3 linked regions of the Cricetulus griseus genome follow. The protein of the gene in region 3 purifies or fractionates together with the protein of the main gene of each other region. This does not show direct contact. Links are inferred from orthologs where the notes say so. Each region holds a gene or a part of one and is shown on either strand. Other genes may lie near its edges. The genes, in order: Ddx24, Zmynd8 and Tspyl1.

What was found.
Region 1: the proteins of Tspyl1 (region 3) and Ddx24 purify together in Homo sapiens (affinity purification with mass spectrometry; 3 studies listed by BioGRID and IntAct, counting the BioPlex papers as one, with this or other methods). This does not show direct contact. The link is inferred for Cricetulus griseus from reciprocal best matches to the Homo sapiens genes TSPYL1 and DDX24.
Region 2: the proteins of Tspyl1 (region 3) and Zmynd8 purify together in Homo sapiens (affinity purification with mass spectrometry; 4 studies listed by BioGRID and IntAct, counting the BioPlex papers as one, with this or other methods). This does not show direct contact. The link is inferred for Cricetulus griseus from reciprocal best matches to the Homo sapiens genes TSPYL1 and ZMYND8.

Annotation. Positions count from the first base shown.
Region 1 is NC_048598.1:102,656,811-102,661,413, forward strand, and holds the start of Ddx24 (ATP-dependent RNA helicase DDX24), read left to right. Parts: upstream 1-1,651; 5' UTR 1,652-1,763; intron 1,764-3,117; 5' UTR 3,118-3,122; coding exon 3,123-3,849; intron 3,850-4,603. UniProt on the Homo sapiens protein: ATP-dependent RNA helicase that plays a role in various aspects of RNA metabolism including pre-mRNA splicing and is thereby involved in different biological processes such as cell cycle regulation or innate immunity.
Region 2 is NC_048599.1:13,607,098-13,610,911, forward strand, and holds part of Zmynd8 (protein kinase C-binding protein 1), read left to right. Parts: intron 1-1,347; coding exon 1,348-1,857; intron 1,858-3,814. UniProt on the Homo sapiens protein: Chromatin reader that recognizes dual histone modifications such as histone H3.1 dimethylated at 'Lys-36' and histone H4 acetylated at 'Lys-16' (H3.1K36me2-H4K16ac) and histone H3 methylated at 'Lys-4' and histone H4 acetylated at 'Lys-14' (H3K4me1-H3K14ac).
Region 3 is NC_048595.1:257,678,318-257,682,901, reverse strand, and holds Tspyl1 (testis-specific Y-encoded-like protein 1), read right to left. Parts: upstream 2,923-4,584; 5' UTR 2,818-2,922; coding exon 1,750-2,817; 3' UTR 314-1,749; downstream 1-313.

The sequences.
Region 1 (4,603 bases), on a different chromosome or scaffold from region 3:
CATGGCCTGCCCCTTGCAATGAGTCAGTAGTCAGCCCCCTGGTGGAGTTTTGAAAGTAATAGAAGAAGCTACCCAGCTGTACTCACCAAACTTAACCTCTGAATAGATGGTGTCCCTTAGATTGTTTTCTGTCCTGACTGATGCTTAACTCTCTCTCTCTCTCTCTCTCTCTCTCTCTCTCTCTCTCTCTCTCTCTCTCTCTCTCTCTCTCTCTCTTCCTCCCTACTTCCCTCCCCCCTCGCCATACCATGCTGGCTTCAAATTCAGGACTCTACCTGCCTTTGTCTCTCTAGTGCTGTGTTAAAGACAGAGATGCATGGCGACAAATGTGTTTTTCTAATACAAAAATATTAAAGTGGTGGGTAAATGAAAAAGTAAGGCATAAAAATGGAAGGAAAAGACACGACTGCCCCTAGGCACGCTGGAGGAGAAAGTTTATTGCAGATATGTGTGACAGCATAGTCAGAGGTATGGATATCTGGGAGAGTCCAGAGTGGACATGACCAGGCTGAGCTGGTCCCTGTGGGAAGAGGGCAGGAAAGGGAGAGAGGAACTAGGTGCACCAGCCAGGAGGTCAAAGGTACAAAATGGTAGGTAACTAAAATGTCTGGATTATACAGGTTAGAGCCTGTGGGGGAAGGGCAGCCCAGCCCTTGGGCTGGAGAGTTCATGGTAGAGGGTGGAGTATGCTAGTTATACCCGTTAATGGATGGGGACTGAGAGAGGCTGGGCGAGCCTGGCTGCCCGGTCTGCTGTGATAGGACAGCCTTTTGTCCTGGGTATGAGATCTAATACCTATAAAACCTGTTGGAGGCCGGGTGGTGCACGCCTTTAATCCCAGCACTCGGGAGGCAGAGGCAGGCGGATCTCTTTGAGTTCGAGACCAGCCTGGTCTACAAGAACTAGTTCCAGGACAGCCTCCAAAGCCACAGAGAAACCCTGTCTCGAAAAAACAAAAAACCAAAAAAAAAAAAAAAAAAAAAAAAAGCCAACCAAACAAACAAACAAAAAAAACCTGTTGGAGGACAGGCTTTTAGAATGCTGCCCTTCCCAGGTTCAATAGCTTTTGGAAAATGTCACAATGTACACTGTGGGGACTGCTTTAGTGTTGAGGCTGAGAACTTCCACCCTCTCCAGTGAGACTCCCTCAGCACCCAGAGATGTAGGAACAACTTTAGTTGTTGATGCTTAAAAACATGCAGACTAGAACAGAAACAACTCATGGTTTATAGAGGGTTAGGCATCGCCGTAACCTTAGGGAATCTTTTTCATTATTTTTCATTAACGTTAAAGTCTTCGTATCGGGCTCTAAAACTTGCGTTCGGGACTGGCCGCTCCGTCTTCACCAGCCTTGCGCTCAAGGGAACTGGGAGAACACAGCACTTTCAGTGCAGGCGTGGTTGTGCTGTGAATCAGGCAAGAAAAGGCATCAAAGCTAACAGTAGGTACTCAATACCTTGCAAGGGCTCCCGCACCCAAACTAGATCAAGATGACGCGAACACTCGCGCTCCCTAGCGTCCAGGAACGAGCTCCAAGAAGCAGCCTACGTGATAAACAGGAAGAGACCCAGAGCCAACCCCAGGCCTTTTCCGCTCCCGCCCACGTCCTGAAACAATGCCAATCAGACAGCTATGGAGGCGGTACTTCCTTCTGTGGCGCGCACGCGTGCCTGAAGTCCCGCCCCGGAACTGCAGATGCAGGCTGCTGCAGTTCCGGGTCGGGGTGTCGCAGGCGTCGCCGAGTGTGTGAGAGATCGCTGGCGGTGAGTACTCTCGGCGAGTGCGGTGCGGAGCGATGCCGTGGCCTTTTGCGGACGCGCTCCCGGTGCTCCCGCAGCATCGCGTGTCACGGGTGACCCCACTGCCCTGGTTCCTGGCTTCCCCACGCCTGAGGGCCCGCAGGCAGGCGTCAGGGCCCAGTCACCTCCCTTGAAGGGCTCGTGCGGTCGTTGTGTCCGAGGGAGTCTTGCAAGCGGCGCAGGGCCTCTCCCGCGTCCCATTTTCAGTGACAGCCCCTTCGGCTTGTCGGTGCGGTGGGGCCGTGGTGTGGTCGGTGCCCGGGACGGCTGGGGGAGCCTTGCCTGCGAGTCAGCGTGCCTCTCTACACGGGCGCCATGCTAAGCGGGTTTTGACATGCGTCATCATGTCGTATTCAAGCGAGGACCCAGTGGGATAAATATCTCATTGTCCTAACGTTGTAGTCGGGGAAACTGAGCCTCAGAGGTGGCAAGTGTTGGCTCTAGATGTTAATCGAGAATATAATTGTATAATTTTACCTTGTGCTTTCCACAGTGTCTATTCTTTCATGTAGAGAGGACGGTGTGGAGCCACTGCCACTCAAATAAGTCATGCATAATCCGACCCCCTTTAAAGACAAGGGTCTCATGTAGCCGAGGCTGGCTTTGAACTCCTGATCTTCCTATCTCCTTTTCCCGAATGCTGGCTACCCACTAAGCATGGTTTTTAAGCAGTGCTGGGCGTGGAACCCAGGTCTTCATTCACTCTAGGGTAACAAACTGAGCTGCATCTCCCGCTAGCTCTAGATCACTTAAAGTGTAACTAGACAGCTGTGTTGGAGTGGAGATGGCATTGCCTTTTCTAACAGGGAAGAGAGCTCAGTGCAGTTGTAGTAAAGAACACTCCATCCCCTAACACAGAACTGAAAAAAGCATCTCAGGTTCTTACTCCATCTCAGAAATGGCTCATGTAGGGTAGGCTTCCCTCTGGCACCTCTCTTGATACTTTCAATTATTTGTGTACAGCATAAAAGCAGGTATTATCATGCCCCTCTCCTTTTAGAGGATTAAGACACTAAATTCTGAGACAAGTAAGTAGTATTGTTGAAGTTGTATTTAGTGTTGGAGCTGGGATCCTGACACGTGTTAGCTCATGGATCTTTACTTCATTGCCTGTGTTCCCTCTGCTCCAAGGCGAACTAACCTATTCTGTGGGTGTTTGTGTTTCATTTTCTGGCTGGGAGCATCTTCTGTGTGTTAAACCATTTTCAGGTCTTCTGTCATTTGCAGGGTCAAATGCATTTTAGGTTCTTTGGGATGAGGGTGTTGCCATAGAACCTATGCTTGACAGACACTAACGTAAAAGAACGTCTCTTTTCAGCAACCATGAAGTTAAAGGAGACAAAATCAAGGCCAAAGCCACCGAGCCGTGGCACATTTCAGACAAGGGGCTTCAAAGTCGTGGGGAAATGGAAGCAGGTGAAGATCGATCCAAATCTGTTTGCGGATGCACAGATGGATGGCTTGGTGTGCTTTGAGGAACTCACAGATTACCGTTTAGTCTCTGCTGCTGAGAATCCCTCTGGTTTCTTCTCAAATGAGGAGCCAAAGAAGAGAAAGGCCCAAGCTGTTTCAGAAGAGGAGGAGGAGGGAGAGGAGGAGGGAGAGTCTAGCTCCCCCCAAAAAAAGATCAAATTGAAGAAACAGAAAGATGCGCTAGTGGCTGCTGAAGGAAGTACAGCCCAGGATGAAGTCAAAGATTCTGAGCCAGAGACTCAGGCATATGTCACTGCTTGTTCTGATAGACAGGTAGGAGAAGCAGCATCGGAAAACCTGGCACAGGCTGTTCCAAAAAAGAAGAAAAACAAAGGGAAAAAAAAATTAAGCCCTTCCCAGAGCACTGTCTCTAAAGTGCCCAAAAAAGCAAAGACATGGATGCCTGAAGTGCAGGACCAGAAGGCAGATGTGTCAGCATGGAGGGACCTGTTTGTGCCCAAGGCGGTTCTCCGAGCACTCAGCTTTCTGGGCTTCTCTGCACCCACCCCAATCCAAGCTCTGACCTTGCCCCCAGCCATCCGTGACAAACTGGACATCCTAGGAGCTGCTGAGACAGGTAAGGGCTGTCCTGTCTGTCCCAGGCAGGAGAGCTTTTGCATCCAGTCTTTGGTTGCCTCATAGGCTGGAAAACTGGAGGAGGGGAGTGTTGAGCACAGGGCCACAAAAACCGTGTTGAATGGTGATGGTGTTGAGAAAGCATCCAGCTCTGGGTTGCAGTCTAACCCTGCCTGACTTTGGTATCCTTGCTTTATCTCTGTGAAGCATGTGAGTCAGATGGAGATGACAACACTACTTAACCCCTTGCAGTCAGGTTGAGAGTTTTCTCTTACTGAGGAGTTTTTAAAAATCAAGAATGGATGTTAGATTTTTTTTTTTGTACCAAATGTTCTTCTTGCACATATTTAGGTATGTGGGTTTTTGTTTTTAGTTGTTGATAGCAATGAATTATGTTCATTTTTTCAAAAATGAAATCTAAACATTCCTGAGAAACAGTGAACTTGATCACAATGTGCTGGTTATATCTTGGATTTGGTCAAGTGTGAATATGAAATTAGAATATTCATCTATAGTTTTTTTTTTTGTAATGATATTGTCTGGTGTTAATGTTGACAATGACATTGGCCTCAATAACTTGTGAAGTGTTTTCAGTTATCTGAAATAGTTTTAAATCATTGATGTTTTTTTCACCCTTAAATATTTGTTAGAATTCATCTGGGCTTTCTCTTCTTTCTAGGCAGGTTTGTAAGTATAGATTTAGGTTTTAAAACCCATTAGAGGTTTTGTTTTTTTGTTTTGTTTTGTTTTGTTTT
Region 2 (3,814 bases), on a different chromosome or scaffold from region 3:
CAGACGAAAACTCTGAGGCTTAAGAGTGGGTGATTTAAGCCGGGCGTTGGTGGTGCACGCCTTTAATCCCAGCACTCGGGAGGCAGAGGCAGGCGGATCTCTGTGAGTTCGAGGCCAGCCTGGTCTCCAGAATGAGTGCCAGGATAGGCTCCAAAGCTACACAGAGAAACCCTGTCTCGAAAAAAAAAAAAAAAAAAAAAAGAGTGGGTCATTTTCCCAAGGTCCCACAGATAACAGTTCCTGTGCCCTGTGCTGAATGCTTGCCTACCGCTAATACACGCCTCTGACTGCACCTTCGTTTCAGACCTCATGTTTTCATGGTTGTTGGACCCTGGGGAGTCCAATACTGTTCCCCAGCAACTTTGCTGACCAACTGCCTGTGTCTTGGCTCTTCATGGCTCTTGCCCTTCCTGAGTTTTTCTTTGATGTGTCCAGGCCATTGCACTGGAGTGAAGGCAGTATGAAGAATTGACATGGTTTTCATTCTTTTGGGTTTATTTGTTCTTATTTGCCTACTGCCTGAGCTGGAAGCATACATGTACCTTGTGTGTGTGTGTGACACCTGCTATTCTGTCTCCTTTGATGAGCATAGACAGGTGTAGTTTTCTCTTGCCCCTTGGCAGCGGAAGGACAATGCATTCACATGAGCACCTGAGGCTCTGCAGGCGCACAGGGGGCCAGCTAGAAGGCTGGGCTCCAGGTTATCTGGACACCTGCCTCCACTTAAGGGGTGCAGCAGATTCCACCCTTGCCTGTCTGCTGCTTGCTGCTCGCAGATCCCACAGAGGGTGGTTCCCATGCTGTGTGCACAGAGCCACTACCTTGAGGCCTATGAGAAATTTTTTGGTTGTGACTTGGGTAGAGAATTCTAATTAAAACAAAACAAAAAGACAATGCATACAGGTAAGCCAGTGCTGCCCAGATGGTTAAGTATAAGGGAAGATATACATGGGCCGAGCAGTGGCTGCCATGCTAAGGCTCTGGCCTTCTGGAGCCCTAGACACAGGCAGAAGCCTGCCTGTTCACACTTGGGTGGAGTGCTGGGTCAGGAGCCTAGGCTTCTTGTTTGGTACCCAGTAGATTTAATTTGTGCGTAGACAAGGGCTTCTCTGGGCCCTTATTTTAATGGCTCCCCCATCTCCTCATCAGTCAGTGCTGCAGACTTGACATAAACCTGGCAGTCCGTAGGTCTGTCCTGTCCCTGCTTTTCTTGGATCTTGATTGTACCCCCATGCCCCCTTTCTAGCTGTCCCCATTAAGATGGGGATGCCACTTGAAGGGTGGGAGTGTGTATCCCTCCTGTCTTTCTTGCATAGCTAAGCTGTGCTGGTTTCTTTTTGTCCTTAGGCATAAATGAGATCTCAGAAGATGTTTACACAGCCGTGGAGCACAGTGATTCGGAGGATTCCGAAAAGTCAGAAAGCAGCGACAGTGAGTATGTCAGCGATGAGGAACAAAAGCCCAAGAATGAGCCAGAGGAACCTGAAGACAAAGAGGGGAGTCGGGTGGACAAAGAGGCCCCCGGTATAAAAAAAAAGCCAAAACCTGCAAACCCGGTAGAAGTCAAAGAGGAAGTGAAAAGTAACTCTCCAGCCAGTGAGAAGGCAGACCCTACACCCGCCAAGGACAAGGCAAGCCCGGAGCCTGAGAAGGACTCAGTAGAGAAAGCAAAGCCATCTCCTCACCCCACAAAGGACAAACTGAAGGGAAAAGATGACACGGATTCCCCCACAGTGCATTTGGGCTTGGACTCCGATTCAGAGAGTGAACTTGTCATAGATTTAGGAGAAGATCCTTCTGGGCGGGAGGGTCGCAAAAACAAGAAGGAGCCCAAGGTGCCCTCACCTAAGCAGGACGGTAAGCTACACACACAGCCTGTAGACTGTAAATTTTGTTTGGTGTTGATCAGACTCAGGACCTTGTGCTCTACCACTGAGCTATTACACCTGGTATTTGTGCGATTGCCAAGCCCAGTGTGACAGGGAGTGTCTCGGCCCCCAGCTTCTACAGTGGGAGCCATGGCCTGCACATGGGCCTGCTTGATCCTCAGCACAGAAAAGTTCCACGGTCACTGGTAGCTGCTTCTTATAAAGTTGATTTTGGCCTTAGGTCTGCCTGCTTAAGGTTTTACGTGGTTGAATTGGACCTGGAATTATATAGCCAAGGATGGCTTTGGATTCTCCCACCTCTACCTCCCTTGTGACAGACCACTATATACATACACACACACACAACTGAGCTACATGCCCCCTCCAGTAAACTTCCTTTTTAATATTCAGACATTTGGGTGGGGCTCAGGGATCAAGGGCTCTCTGAGTAGAAAGATCTAGAGGAAGCTTCCCCTTCTCTTGTGCCCTGCACGGGCAGATATATTTTCCTACTAGAAGTAGAATCCATTAGGGGTTGTGGGGCATTGAAAATGGAAGAGACCTTGGTCAGCACCCTCTGGGCAAGATAGTCTGTCCTATGTGCATTGAATGTACCTGAACCAATTCTTTGTCCCTTTCAGTGAAAGTGGTCTAGGTGCAACTCTGGCCTTTAGCCACTAGATGGCAGGAGCACTTGCCTATCAAACATGCCTGTCCCTTTTAGGCAAAGCCTTCCGCCCTGAGGATCACCTGAATCTTTTCAGGCTTGTTGCTATTGTGATGAGCAGTCTGGGCCAGCACCGTCGGCAGTGGGCATGCTGGCGACTTCCCCAGAAGGAGTTGAGTAACAGCAAGTTTTTGGCTGGCCAGAGGACTCCAACGTCATTCAGCTAGGGCCCTGGAATGACTTAAGTACATGGTACAGGGTAGCCTTCAAGCTGGGTGTACTTGGTGAGGTACAGAGGGGTGTCATTTTGCACTGTGCTTAGTTTCTAACAGGAGCCAACTTCTCATCGTAACCCAGGAGTAAGGTATGACCATGTCCCCCACATTCTTGTAGCCTGGTGGCCTAAGGCAAGTCTTTGCTGTGCCCTGAGAGCCTTTTCCCTGTGGGGTGCCCACCTGAGGAGTCTGGAACCTCAGCTCTTAATCGAGACAGATTTCTGTGACCAAGGAAGAAGAAATGAGATACCTGTGCTGGGGAGGGGGTGAGGTGGAGAGGGCAGGGGATGTTCAAGCTGCCGCTTAGGCCAGTTGAAGGCATCAGAGTGCCGCCTGGGGTAGAATGGAGGTAGAGAAGTGCACACACCTGTAACTTCCTCCGTGTGAGGCTCACACTCCTGTGATGCTTAGAATCTCCCATTCTTTCTGATAGAGGCTTTTTGTGCTTGTGTGTGTGTGTGTGTGTGTGTGTGTGGGCCGAAGGATAACTCATGTCATTATTCATGGTGGCAACTTTCTTTACCCACTGAGTCACCTTGCCAGCCCCCAAACACATCTTGATTGACTTACTGTTTGCTCTGGCTTTGGGGAAATGTTTTATATACAAATAAATACTAAGGTAGGCATGATAATGCACTTGGAGGTAGAGACCAGTGAATAAGGAGCTCAAGGTCAGCCTCGGCTTCTTCAGACCCTGTCTCAAACAGAACAGACCAAAGAAAACCCAGACTGTCCCAACTTCGGGGCAATCACAGACAAGAGTTTCCATTGCAGTTGTGAGCTTCTTAGCAGGGAAAGCAAAAAGAGAAGCATGGTTCCTTAACAGAGATCAGATTTTTTTTTCAGAAAATCAAAAGCATTCTTGCAGAGCTATTCCTGGTTTTGATGTCTGAAGGAAACTCCCGCAGACCCAGAAAACCCTAAGTGGATGGTAGAAAATTGAGTTAAAGATGGTTCTAGAACACAACACAATCAAGAGTAACTTTCCAAGGGTTGAGGCAAAA
Region 3 (4,584 bases):
TGTCATCAGGAGCCATGGACGTCAACAGAAATTATGACTCCCAAGGAAGTGAGGGGTTTGGTGGTGCTGCACAAATTTTGTGGAAAAAAGTTGACATCTCAGTAAGCACTTGTTAACTGTCAACATTTTAACACAACAAATCAATGACAGTAGCAACTATGCTTGTATCCTGGAAGATACAGTATTGCGCTCTCTTGTCAGACCTCTGGGATAATGTTGTGTCCATTTAAGAAATTTTGTAATTCCATAATCTTGTCAATTATACAAACCTATTAAGGCACTTAATGGTCAGGGTGAAAAATAAAACATCGAAGAGAGTGCTATGCTTTTATTCACCATCTTACATATAAAGGGCAACAAATATCTTCATAGTACAGTTCTAATATGACAGAGCACTTTTACAACTATTGTGTAATTTAAGAGGCTACCAAGAATATCAAGTCACATATCTATTTTTCCATGACAACAGTAATTGGACAAACTTGATAAAGACCAAATTATCTAAACTACGTTTCTAAGAATTTAGATTAACATTGAAAATTTTCATGAATACTCATTTGTCTCAATAGTGTCAAGACTATTGTTCTTCCAAATGGTTTCAAATAAATGCAAAAGAAAGTAATTTAACTTTCCTAGTAAATAGAAACAAGTAGCATTTTACTAAATGTTGGTAAAATATGGGCACAATATTACTCTTTCAGATACATCAGGTCACATATAAAAAGAAGAAAATAACCCAAACTTGTACCATTTCTTTAAAGAACCATTATCTAGGCAACATTTAGTACTCAAAACTCCCTATAATTTTTCTGTTGCAATCCTGAGAAAGTATTTCTCTTTACATCACCATTGGACTTGAAAGCTCTTAGTCAACCTTGTCTTCATCTTCAGCCCAATTTTTATCTGACTTAATCTGGTCCTAATCCATTTCAGTTCACTTTCCCTGCTTAGGGTACCCATCACAATCTCTTTAGTTCTTCCATACATTATAAGGAAGATCTCACCTGTTTCCACCTAGCTCCATCTCTCTATTATCCTGTTAGGCCTTGTTAACCTGGCTGGGGGGTTGGGAAAAAGAGAAGAGGCAGCCAGAGTTCTGCAGCCTCTCTGGCAGAGCATCCTCTCTGGAAATGCTACCAGTCTAAATGGACTACAAATGCTGATCTTGCAGATGTTCCGGAACTACTTCTTTTTATTTAAAATAACAAGAAGGTGGAAGAGGGTGAGGAACCTTGACAAGCGCCAATGGAGCTTGGTATATGCAACAGCAAGCAGTATTAGAAGGTGGTGCAGAAAGAGTCACAAAAACCACACAGAAGGTGGCCCACTTCTGTTCTCCCGCAATATCATTAATTCCCAGCAATTGTCTGCAAACTTGATGTCCATACTGCCACATGCTCAACAGGTAAATAGAACGGGCTCCCTAGACAAAGGTGGCAGCAAATAGCTAACAGACTGAAAACAACAGGGTCCAAGCACTGTAAAAGCAGTGTGATCTTCAGGATCGCGTGTTAAGCTTAGAAAGGGTCTGAACCACGACGAGGCAGCAGACACTAATACAGAACAGCGTAGAGGTCATATGACAGCAGCAGCATGTCCACAGTCTTCATCTTGAGGGCAAGAGAGACTATTCAAACAGCAGATGCAGAAGCCACAAGGAAAGAAACACCAAGAACACTGCATACCGTTGCCTTTGCTCAAGCACAGGTGAGAAGAGGCCTGCTCCAGCTGTATTTTCAAAGGCAGAGGTTAGCCTGACTGGAAGCCAAAGGGCCTGGGAATCTCCACTGGCTCTCTTACTGGGCGACGTCTGGGTCTGCGGATTCCGTCACGTGACAGGTAGTATTGCAGTGGGTTTGGCCACAGGTCCTCTTTGATGATCTCAGCAATTCTGTCGGATTCTGGAAGGCTGTGGTCTGAAAACCAGGTGAAGAAGCTGCAGATGAGGTTCTGGTTTCTGCGAATGAAGGACTGAGGCTCATGTCCCCTCCGCCATACGATTGGAGTGGAAAGGGACACCACTCGACCGGATGATCGAACTTCATATTCCTTGACGATCAGCTTGTTTCGGAAGTAGGGGTTCCTTCGAAAGAAGAACTTGAATTTGCAGCCAGTCTTCGGGTGTCTGAGTTCCTTCACCTCTAGGTTGGTGACGTACCTTAGCATCTCTGCATCCTGACCCCTAATCATGGAGGACAGCTGCGGGTGGTTCCGGAAGGCAGTCATCCAGAAGCCTGGGATGTTCTGAATGATGTAGTTCCTCCGTTCCAGGTAGTGTCGCCGCATCCGCCCAAACTTCTGTTCCAGATGTTGGAAGGCCCTGTCGGCCTGAGCGTTCACAGTGTCCAGTTCCTGCTGGATGGCCTCCAGGGGGTTCATGCGGAGATTGATGCCCAGATGCCAGGGCCCGGCCTCCTCCTCTAGCATCTCCATGTCCTCACCCGCGGGCTGCCGCTCCTCCTCCATCGCCGCCTCCTCTCCTTCCGCCGCCACTGGACACGGCTCGTCTTCAGCGGCTACCGCGACCGCACCCTGCTCGGCCCCCACGCCGGCGGCCTCGATCTCTGCGCCCCGAGTTTCTTCCGGAGCCACCGACGCGGGACCCTCGGCGGGAGGCGGAGCCGCTCCCCGCCCGGCGGCTGTCACCCGCACCCGGGGCTCAGGCCCCACGACACCCGGGGACGCCGGGCTGGCCGCGGTCCGCGCGCGGCCCTCACCTGTCGCCCCGGGCGCCGAGCTCGCCGGGACACTGTCAGCCTCGCGCAGGCCGCGGCTGCGGGGCACAGGGGTCCCCTCGTCCCGCTGCGGGCCGTCCATGTCGGGTCCGGCCGCGTCACCCTCGAGGCACACGCGTCTCCCCTCCGAGTGAGCCCACGCAGCTCCCGCTACGCCCCTTCCCCGTCTCCGGGGCGGTGACGTCAGAGCCGCAGCCCGCGACTCTCGCGAGAGTTTGCGGCGCCCGGCTGGGCGGTCATGGTAGGCGGACGTCCTTGCAGGACTTTGCAGGCTTCTCGGCGGCCGCACGGTCCTTTACACTGCCGACTGCCCAAGGTCGGCCGACAAGTGCATCCGCTTTCCGGTTACGTGCAAAGGTAAAAATACCTCCTGGCCTCCGAAAAAGCCAGGAGCGAAAACTGCCGACCCTCTGGGCTAACCTGGGCTACCCGGGGAGCCGCGGTCGTCTCGAAACAATAGTAAAAACACAATTCACTTCTAGCCCCCGACGTTCCTGGGGGACAAGGCTCTGTGAGCTTGTGGAGGAATTGCTGTTTTCTGGAGGATGTTTGCGGTTGTAACTAATGATTGCTCTCACTGGATAAACACCACATCCATTTTACCCCCCCCCCCCGTGGAGCTGAGGCGGGCAGAAACTGAGCCGCTCACCAAATCCCATAGAGAATGGCAGATCAGAGCCCAAGAGATTGGTCTCTGGTGGTCTCTGAACAGGATGTGACCTCACTGTCACACAAAAGCATAAACGCATAGCCCATGTCAAGTTGATTCATGTGCCCCCCCCACCTCGTCCACAAACCTACTAACAATTTACACATCAACACAGAACATTCAGTTCCTTTTGAAGGAACCGGCTTCCCTTTTGGCAGCCATAACAGCCGAACATGTGCTTGGCATATACCTGCCTTGGTCACTTAGAGGTCAGATGCCTGTCTTGTGACAAGGAACCAATCAGAAGTTAGCTGGTGGCGCTATGCTTTACGACCCTGGGTGTGCTTTACGGACAAGCGCACAGCAATGACGTAGAGAGCATAGCAACCACCCTGGGAGGGCCTATGAGCCATAACAACCAGTTGACCAATCAACACAGGGCAAGCCCTCCAAGCCTGGAGGCACACCAATCATGAGCCTGTGCGTACCCCTAGACACTCCCCTTACGCTGCCCTATAAGATCTTTGGGGAGACCTTAGGAGCCGTCTTTTTCTAGCTGTCCGCCATGGCGGGTGGGTAAAAGACCCGAGCTAACATGGGGTTAGCTCGTTAAATTACAATAAAGCCTCGTGCAGTTTGCAGCAAGCTCTCGAATCCGCCTGGTGATTGGGGTGACCGCGAACCTGGCCTGAGACCCCGGATACTTGAGTTTTCGGGGGTCTAACATTTTGGGGGCTCGTCCTGGATTTGCGACCACCCTTCACCTGAGTGGATTCGATCTTGGAGGTAAGATGATTAGAGCTCGCAATTTATATATGTTCAATGTTCTATGTTTCTTGTTTTGTCTCTTGCTGTGTTGGTTTGGTGCCATGATTTGTATTTGATCTGCGCAGAATTTGTATTTGTAATTCGGACTTCTGGGGAAGACCCTGAAGTCCTGCCCTGGATGAAAGTCCGAGGGTTGCTTGATTTGATCTGCGAAGAATTTGTAATTTGTATTTGATCTGCGCAGAATTTGTAATTGAACCATAGGGTAAGCAGACTTGTGAGACCCTTGGTTCCACCCTGGATGAAAGTCCAAGGTTTGGTTGTAATTTTGGTTTGGGGCACCATTTCTTTGCCGCGGTTTGTCCTGTCTAATGTTTGTGCTGTCTAATGTGCTGTCATTTGTGTTATGTGTTTCTTAAGCATCTCTTTCTG